Drosophila melanogaster: one gene and its partner. The protein of the gene in region 1 purifies or fractionates together with the protein of each later gene. This does not show direct contact. Each region holds a gene or a part of one and is shown in the gene's direction. Other genes may lie near its edges.

Region 1 (4,962 bases):
CACAGTGGGGCGAAACTCGGATTACCAAGCCAAAAAAACCAACAGCGTTGAACTAAAGTCATTCCATAGAGCCAACGTGGCGTATTAGTAATGTTAGGAAATGTTAGCTGTAGTTGAGTTGAAACTATTAGTTAAAATTCGTTCAAGTAAAGTCTATATAAAATTAGGTATGTATAATGCAAGATATATAAATCAATGACCATTTGTTTTAATTGTTTTGATTGGTTAATTTTAGTGTTCATAAAAGCGTCTTTATATCTAAGTTTTGCTAAGTTTTTTATATTAGAGAATTTACGGAAAATGTTTTATATAGTTCCATCAAAGATCAATATACTCTAATGCCATTGGCTTAATTGAGTTTCAGTTGTTTTAGTCAAAGGAAACAAGAACTTTGCCACCTGTGCGCAATATTGATTTGATTTTTCTCACACTCCATTGCAGTTTTCGGCGAGGCCGACAAGGAAGCATCAGCCACAGGATGCAGAGCAGTGCCGGCGGAGCGTCGGGGGGCAGCAACTACGAGGACGTGGCCGCCGCCCGCCGAGGACGCTTCCGTGTCACCTCCTCCACGCCACAGGGCCCGCCCGAAACGACGCTCGGCCGCTTTCGTCTCATGCCCACGTGTAAGTTGATTTGGTACTTTTTCGCCTTTACAATTTGAGTTTATATAAAGTATACGACATTAATCATTACAGTTATGCTAATAGTAATTGATATCTTTTGGTCAAATTCTCGATAATAAATGCATGGTGCTGAATACTGACCCCTTCTTTCGCCTTTGCAGCTAATTATGGCGCCATTTCGCCAATCCTCCAGCGGGGTCGCTTCGCCGTGATTCCCGAAGAGCCCCAAGCCGGTTCCCCCGCATTGGGAACGCCTCCGCCGGGCGGCCGAACAGCGCGTTCTCCATCGCCCGAATGGGACTTCGACATCGAGCAGGTGAGTGTTCCCAGTTCCTCGGCTGGGATTGATTGATCGAGCTAGCAAAAAACCCTGAGCATCGAGGAAACTTATTTTCGAGAGTACTTCAAATGTATTTATTGCGTCCTTGGACCTATTTGGAATGGTCTAAATGAAGTTCGTGAATGGTGGCAAATTCATCGACTCCGATTTCAAGTATTTTGCTGTTTCTGGTGGCGTCATTGTGTGCTCCTCGGTGGCCTCTGTGCAATGCGCCATTTTTATTGATTTTTGTTGGCTTAGCTGAAGTTTCAAAGAGTTTGGGTGGGCTCCGAAAGTGTGAAAGGCATGCCAAGGCAACTGGTTATGATTATTTATGGGGCATAAAATCTAATTTCCAGCACTATGATGGAAATAGGAATATGCTTATGTACATAAGTTTAATTTTTTTTAGCTAAAGCTAGCTAAAGTTTTTTTTATAGCTTTTATAGCTTTTTTTATAAAAGCTAAAGTTTTTTTTATAGCTAAAATGTTTTCTATTTTGTATGTTCGGCGTGATTTACAGAGCGGAGCAATTTTTGCAATTCAAACTTATATCATTTTGGCGCCTAAAGCGGCGGTGCATGACAAAAACTGATTGCTATTGCGAACACGGTCCGATCTGGCAACGCGTTGTTTTTTAAGTGTGACCGCCGCCGGAAAGTAGCAAAGCGCATTTTATTTAAAATAACTTCTACGCAACTAAAGAATTCTCAATGATTCTTGTTTATTGAATAAATAAGTAGATATATGTGCGTATTTACTTACGCGAGTGGGCACTTAAGAATTTACTATTTAAATGCACATATTTCAGTAAAATTGCAAACAACGAGTTATAGAAAAATACTAAAACAACGTTACAGTTGTGGTCACGCTAATTCCAACTGGATTGTAAAAAGATCTCTAGCGATAACGATAGGCGAAGAGTAAGACCTTTTCTGCTGGATTTCGCAAACGATAACGATGACCACAATCGTGAGTTAGGTTGCGAACTTTGCTTGGTGAAAACGCAGCGGATTACGAGGTTGGGAAAAACTTTTAATTCGCGTTAAAAAACGGGAGTGCAGTGAAAAACAAAGCAAATTAAATGTTCTTAAATTCTTACTAATTTATAATAAATAATTTAATTGAGAGAAAATTCCGGCATGGTGTCAGGATAGCATGTCCGCGCCAGTGGGTGGCTTAGCCATAAAATTCTTCTGTGATAAGCTGCGTGAACAGCTTTTAATTGTGCGCGAATGGATTGCAGAAATTGCAGTGACAACAACGGCAACAACGGACAATCGATCTTTGTTCTTTTGAGTGCGCAAGTGAATTGTGAAACTTCTTTCTTGTTACACAAAACAATAGCCTCTAATCACTTTTCCTGCCCATGCATACACACACATGTGTGCATATGTACATCCCTATAAAAAATCAATAATCGGCGATCAGCTGTTACGCATACAAACAAACACATGGCGTCGCTGGAAAGAGCGACAGAAACGTTTTGGAAATTTTCCACGGACAAATACTTTTATTTGCCCAGATTTGCTATTCTTCTGTTTTTGTTCCTTGTGTCAGTTTCTAGCTGTGTTTCGCGCAGTAATGGTTTAGATTCTTAATAAAAAGTGGCAAACACAACAACGTCCTGCTGCTCCTCTTCTTCTTCTCACCCCTTCCATTGTCCGATCACTGCGTGTTCCAATTGGAAAGTCGAGTCCAAAGTGGAAGCGCGCGCCCGAATAAATTTTCATTTTGATTCTTGATTTTTATGGCTCGCATTCTTTGCTTTTATTAAGATCGATTCGGTTGTTGTTGCTGGTGTTTTCGTGTTTTGTGATTTATTTGGTGTTGAACCAAATGGCTGATAATTAGCCGAGTGAAATGAGTGCTGTAATCTAATCTGAAAAGTCAACACCTCGAAAGTGTTTGGACATCCAGCGAAAAGTCGTCATTATAATTTCGCTCTAATCTCTGAATATACACTCATAACATATATATAACATATAATGCGCCAACACAACCAGCTAATTCGTTACGTCTCTTCTTATTTACAATAATTTCTTAGCGCAGCTAAATGCCTAATCGCGAAATTGTTTACAAAAGTTTTGTTTTCCACCCGTTCAGGTGAACGTGAATGTGTGTTAGTGTGTACGTGAATGTGCGGATGTGTGTATGCGTTCCTGTGTCCGTGAAATTAATTTTTTAACCGAAATTCGACAATTGTGATTCTGCAATCTGCCAGCGCGAATCAGAAACATCCAATTACTGATAAAAACACACAAAAGGTGGGTGACAATTTATTTTCTTTTTATAATTATCGAAAACCTGATTTACTTCACTGCCTTTATTTTCTTTTTGTGTTGATATGAGCGCTTGACGTTTGATTTTCCCCGAAACTTTTCATCTGCCTTTTGTGTCGGTGACTAAGTTGAGTGGGTGGGAAATTCCCCCAGTTCGCGGCGACGCTGGGAAAATACCCAAAATCGCCCAAAATTTTTTCATAATTAGATTTTCAGAATGTGTAAACAATTTTATTAAATTTTTTTATATTTAGAAAACATTTAATAAAAGCGATCAATTATGTAATAGATAGTGTATAACAGTATCAATAACAGGAATAACAGTATTAAATCAGGCAATGTAAAATATAATAACATAAAACAATTCAAAGGGTCTTACCTGAATTCTTCATACGACTTTTTTTTGTCGAAACTCATTTGAAGTTATGGTTATAAAATCGTGAGTGGATTTCTTTAAATGTAAAAGTACCCTATCACGATGCCTACTACATTTTAGACATTGACTAATTAAGTAAGCACACTTCAAGCGAATGCCCAGAAATTAAAAAAAGATAGCTACTGAAGTTGGCAATCAGGAAATGTCGAACTTTGATCTGCGGATACAACTACTAGAAGTCGCAGATAGTCAGTCGCACTATATGGTAAAATTGAATGTTCGCACTTACAGCTGCCACGATTTGTGTGCCGCCAATTACCTTAAAACAAAAATTGCACTGCCAATGTAAACAAAACGTATTTGAAACTCGTGTTCGAATGGATATACATATGTATGTATGGATTTATTCCTAATCACATGCACACGATACTCCGGATCAGCAGATCGACCAGTGATCGTCGAGATCCGTGAAATTGGATTTGTTTCTACTTTCCGTCCTTACGAAGTGGCTGCACTGAAATCGAAACTGTTTGTTTATCTTAGCAATTAGTTAGCCATAAATGTGCGAGTAAGCGAATAGAAGGGATAAAGCATAAATAATTAAAACTGTTCGCATTAGCAGATGGCAATAAAATAACTCGGTTTCTGGTCCATTCGATCGAATTCAATATTGTTGTTTAGTTTCCGAAAATATTGGTTTTGTAATTGACTTGACTTTGTTCAATTCAACTCAAGTTCCCCGAGCCCCACCATCTTGTCTTCGCCCTCCAGTTTTCTTCTCGTTTTTCCATTTTGGTTCGCCAGCCCGAGTTGAACGAACCTCTTTCAATATCTTTCAGAAAAAGAACCCAACTTTGCTTTGCTCGAAAATCAATATTATTGTTTAAATATTATTCTACGTATACGACACAGCGAGCAATAAATATTTACTAGATGTGCTCATGTTGCAAATTGTATTGGTTTTTTGGGGTTGAGTATGCAAAATCAGCAGGGAAATGGAGCAGAAATTGTTTTCGAGATTAGGAATTGAATAGGCGTAGAAAAAAATGATATTCTAGGAAACTAAATCTTAAACAAAGACGAAAAGCCTTCCTGTTTTGTTAGATTATGGTTCCAACTTTGTATATTATCAAGAACTGGTAAAAAAAACATACACGCGAATTCTTTAGTGGAATTCTTCCAACAATTTAAAAAATGATTTATTTATTGGATCGAAAGATTTTATGTTTAAAATTAAGAAGCTTTAGGAAATACTTCAAATATTAATTATAATGTATACATATAATTGTAAAGCTTTGAAAATGTAGTGATCACATAAAAAATGGGCCATATTTAACAACTTCAAACGGACAAGGTCACTTG
Region 2 (5,075 bases), on another chromosome or scaffold:
TGTATCTTCAGCCCGCATTCCTATTGAAGAGATAGCTTTGATATATCTTTGTAACATTAGCTAAAACATCTTTGTCTTTGATTTCTTCTACTTCTAAGCCGCATACTCATTTTGTTTATTCTTTTTAATCGTTCAAACTCTCCCTATAAAGCAAATCAATTTTAAAAACAAAAATTTGCTTTATCAGTCGGCACATCTTTGTCTTTGTAAATATCTTTTTACGGATAATCCATAAATTATATGTACATTTTCTACGCTAGTTATAGAACACGAATTTAATTTTCAGCTCAACACAAAATAAATAAATAAATCAACATTTTTTGTCAACAAAATATTTATGTAATTTTATACAAAATATACACGAACGTCTAAATTAAATCATCGTGTATTTACGTTTAGACACTAAATACAATACAATCCCAAAATTTGACATTATTTTTGTGTCTACTTTATATGAAGAAATTATTACATAATTCTATATGAAACAAAAAAAAATTTATAATATTTCTAAAATTCTTAAGATCAAATCAACAACATATTTTCTCTGTGTTTTTTGTGCTAAATTTTTTTTACTGGTACTTCTTAATTTAATAATGATGTAAAATAAAGAGGAAAACAATTAAAATATAAAATAAATGTGGAACATAACTATGGTTTTTCTTTTAACTTATAAAAGTGGTTGATAAAAAAAACTATTGAGTTTCAGTTTGACAACAAAGTAGTTCTGACTACACCTCTGCATTGCTGAATAGCTACATATATACATCCTGTGCGTTGCATAAACCTATAAAACTTTCAAATCAAATCGAGAAAATCTTGTAAATTGCAAATCGAGTGCTGAAATGTTACGTAAGCATCTAATAAATATCGAATTTCTGGTGCAAGCGGTTCGCGATTAGGCAATCATGGAATAAGAATCAGAATTATTAGTTTTCTGTGCTACCTTTGCAGAAAGTGAGGTCGTAGTGCTAGATTCGGAGCTGAATTCCAATTGAATTGATTTTGAAGATAAAATACGACAAAGGAATCAAAGGTAAGGGTCGTGGTTCACTATTGAATTCATACTAAAACTACTTTATATATGAAATATTTATTGAAATATGAGTTTGCATTAAAAAGCTAATGCCGTAGTGCTTTGGAAATTATTTGTGTGGATTAACAAAAGCTGAAATGACAGTTTGGAAGTTCTTTTATCACTTTCCATACTATAAGACAATTTAATTAGTAAAAGTTTACATTAAATTAAATGATTAAATATTAAAACAGTTTGTTTAGTTTTAACTTTAAATTATGTTTAACTTCTCTTATTATTTCAAATTATATTTCAGTTCGCCTCACGTTGCATGAAATGCACATATGATCTGTTAATGTAAGTTTATAGACATGAAGCAGTATAGATAGATCAAAAGATAGTTAGGGTATGTTGCACCACCTACCTAGTTTCAGTCTATGCCGACCTATAGTCAAAAACTCACCCCTGCCACAGACCTTGAACTTAAGTCGCGGACAAACAAAACCCGTTGAATCACCCCTGCGAGACCCCCGAGAGACCCTTATATCTGTAATCTCCAGACGGAATGCCAGAAACACGCGGAATATTGGACAACAAACAGAAAGGTTGAAAGAAAACTATATAGAAAAGCTATACTATCCGATCCGAGAGAGACCCTCTGAGCAGAGTGGCTCTGAGCGTGCTGATAGTTTGATAGAGCGATAGATAAAGACTCAACTCAGGTTCACGATCGGTGCAATTGAGTGATATGGCGGATTCTGAGTGTGGAGAGCATATTAAATAATAGCCGAGTGGCGGTGCTCAATCAGTCAGTCAGTCAGGTAGAGCTGGGAATGCTTGCACATATCGCGTATACGCCCCGGCCGGCAAAAGGCATTACAACAGACTTGTAGACCGACTGACTCTCCCGACCGATTCGGTTTCGTATCTTTGTATCGGTGAGAACGCTTCTGGGGACTCGCTGCTCACATTTCGATGCATTTCGCGGTTTTTCGTTTATCCACGGGCTTTTTGCGTTTGTAGTTTTTATTTTCGCCAGCTTAGAACTTGCAATTCTCGTGCATTTATTCAGTTTGAGTCCAGCAAGCGCAGCGTCAACGAGCGGATCTCTCTCTTTAATTTTCCGATTCGGGTTTTCGATTTATTCGCATTTTCTCCGGGTTTTTTTTTTGAGCGCGCAGTTATTGTTTTATATCGCAAGTACTTGGCCGATCTGAAGCAAAGTCAAGCCGTCTGCCGTTGATATTGTCTCTGCCTGTAACTCGATCGCATATTACACACTTTTCGCCTTTTCGGTTCTGTTTCGGATTTGAAGGGGAATAATATTTTTGTTTGTCTCCGTCTTTGCGCTTAATTAAATTGCAGCTTTCTTCCTTGTTTCTGCTGATATTGCCAAAAAAGTTTTTTGTTTTACCTTTTACCATAAAAGAAATTAAAGTGTTTTTGTTATTGGATATCGTTTTCTATATATTGGCGTATATATGTCACCAAGTGCAGAAGTATAAAAAAAAAAACGCGCAAAGCAGAACGGGAAAAGTTATTATGTAACTTTTAAAACACTCGTGCCATAAAAACAGGAACAAATGTGGAATAATTCTTGAAGAAACAAAGTGAAAGGCAGAGGAAAAAACAAAAGTGGATAAGCCGCCAAAGGCAATATATGGATAAAAATAAATAGTTTAAATAATAATGGGCGTTTTTAAAAAGCCAAATAAAAAAGTGTAGTTATATGTCAGTGATGTTGCAATAAAACACAAATACAAGTTTTCACAAGTTAAAAATTGATCTTAGTTAAATACTAAAGTAGTAAAGTTTTATTTAATTGAACAAGTGCATCCAAACTAATGTAGCTAAGATTCAATTTCGAAGTAAATTAACTACTTTACCTGCTAATTACCAAAGTTTTGCGCCAGATTCAAAAGATTAAATTACAAATCAGCTGCGGCAAAATTGTGAAGTGTGCAAAGCAAAAGTGGAGGAAAAAAATAAAAATAATAAAAGCAAAAGTGCATTAGGTAGAACATCCGCAGTGACAAAAATAACAGAAGAAAAATGCCGCGCCAAAAAAGATAAGGCAAACCCAAGGATGAGATACGAGCGAATACGAGTGAAGATACTTCTCGCTTAAAACAAAAGTGCATTCAACCAAAAAAAAATTGAAAACAAACTACCTGTGAGAGCGATTTTTCCACATACATATAATAAAAACTATAATTTTTTTAAAATGTCTTTAGATTTGGAAAGGTATTTTAATAATGTACTCTTTATTCGAATTTTGAATGGAGTTGTGTCGTTTGTTTACTCTAAAAGTTGGATTTCGTACCCAATATTAAAATAAATATAAAAATTAAAAAATATTTTTAGATATTGGTTTTAGTTTCATTCAGCAAGATTGATTGGATATTTTACGCAGTACACTATTTTCATTCCGGTGAATTCAAGATAAATAATATTGTTTGTAAGTTTTGCTTAATTACAAGAATTTCCAGTGGCTGAAACTAGCTAGGTAATTTGCTAGTCGCTTTGCAATCCAACTATTTCCATTTGTTTTATTTAAATTTTTTTTTTTTTGTTTTTTTTATTGTTGGCTGACAAGTCTCAGGTCTCGGATGTGGCGTCTTTTTGAGTTTTTGAAACGTCATCGTCAGCGTTTGACTGCCCCGAGTATCTGTGTGCGCCAGTCTATCTGTGTGCGTGTGTTCTGCTGCAATGGTGTGAGTACGCGTGTGCATTTGTGCAGTGGTGTGCGATCATGCGGTAGTCGCACACGCTCTCAGTAAAACTTATTTCAATTGACAACTAAAAAAACTATAGGCACATGCAAAAAGGTTTTAAACATTACAAGTGATACAACTTCGATTCTTGTTTTTGCATTTAGTCGAATAAATGGGGCACAATTACGAAACGCTACTTAATTTAATCTGCAGTCAGCTGCACTTTCTGGCCATTTTCGCTCTGGCTTGCAGAGCGTATACTTCATTTTCACTTAGAGCAAATATGGCTAGTTGTTGATACGGTGAGATAAGCAACTGATTGACAACTACTCCAGATCTATTTTTTTTTTTTTTTAACAATATTGAGGTAGTTGGAAACAAAGAACGAAAACTTAAGGAAAGCCTCTGGGTCGTTTTTTAATTAAAAGAACTTATAGAAAAATGCACTTAAATTTCTAATGACTAAAAGTTAGACACCCTTCATTTATATCAAAAGGAATAACCTAAAGAGAGCAAAACTTTGGACTGAATAAGTTTAACCTAATGAATTTTGTAATGGTATAGTGAGTTTTTGTCCACTTAAATGAAATCAAGTTAGTTTTTAATTAGTCGGAATTTAATCGATACTAAATAGAATTCATTTAAAATTTCCCCCTTAACGAAAATATTATTCAATTTCAATCTAAACATATTAAATCATTATAAAGATCGATTTATGTGATGAACTGATGATTTTAAGCAGACTGCTAATGATTCAGATACGTCAATTTATTATTAGATTGTTAAACGTTTAGGGAAAGGAAAATCCAAGATCCGTTTAGGGTTCTGTTTATAGAACAACAACTCCATGCTGGAAAACCACATAGAAGTATACCCCTTGAACACTATTAACGATGAACTCGGAATTGGTAGATTGTAATTAAATCCCGTCTCGGTAAAATAAGGGGGAACGAACGCCGACGAAATAAATCAATGAATGACTAGAGGTAAAAATAAAATAATAGTGAACAATTTAATTAAGTCAAGTTTAAGACAACAAACGCTAGAGCGCGACGAAAAGTATTACAAGTTTTGCGGAAAGAGAAATAGAAGGCGAGGAAGCAAAGTTGTACAACGGGTCGTATGAGTATTGGGTATTATCACTCACACACGGGCACTATGTTGTAATCGCAATGCAATTAGCATTGCCAAGCAAAAGCTCAAGTTCACTGACAAAGAAATCCAGAGACAGAGAGAGAAAGAGAGAGTGAGAGAGAGAGAGAGATATGGGGTGCACATATATAGGTAACCCACACATCGATAGTATGCGATAATTTCTGTAACTGAGCGAAGCTTTACAAATGCAATCA

The links. The genes of interacting proteins can lie anywhere in the genome.
Region 2: the proteins of SNF4Agamma (region 1) and Clk purify together in Drosophila melanogaster (affinity purification with western blotting; one study listed by BioGRID). This does not show direct contact.

The regions. Positions count from the first base shown.
Region 1 is NT_033777.3:21,154,449-21,159,410, forward strand, and holds the start of SNF4Agamma (SNF4/AMP-activated protein kinase gamma subunit), read left to right. Parts: upstream 1-1,913; 5' UTR 1,914-1,963; intron 1,964-2,989; exon of another isoform or gene 2,990-3,048; 5' UTR 3,049-3,209; intron 3,210-4,789; exon of another isoform or gene 4,790-4,941; coding exon of another isoform or gene 4,942-4,962. Other genes in the region: cDIP (common Dpr-interacting protein), read right to left, coding at 4,942-4,962.
Region 2 is NT_037436.4:7,772,371-7,777,445, reverse strand, and holds the start of Clk (clock), read left to right. Parts: upstream 1-1,842; 5' UTR 1,843-1,950; intron 1,951-5,075. UniProt on the Drosophila melanogaster protein: Circadian regulator that acts as a transcription factor and generates a rhythmic output with a period of about 24 hours. Oscillates in antiphase to the cycling observed for period (PER) and timeless (TIM).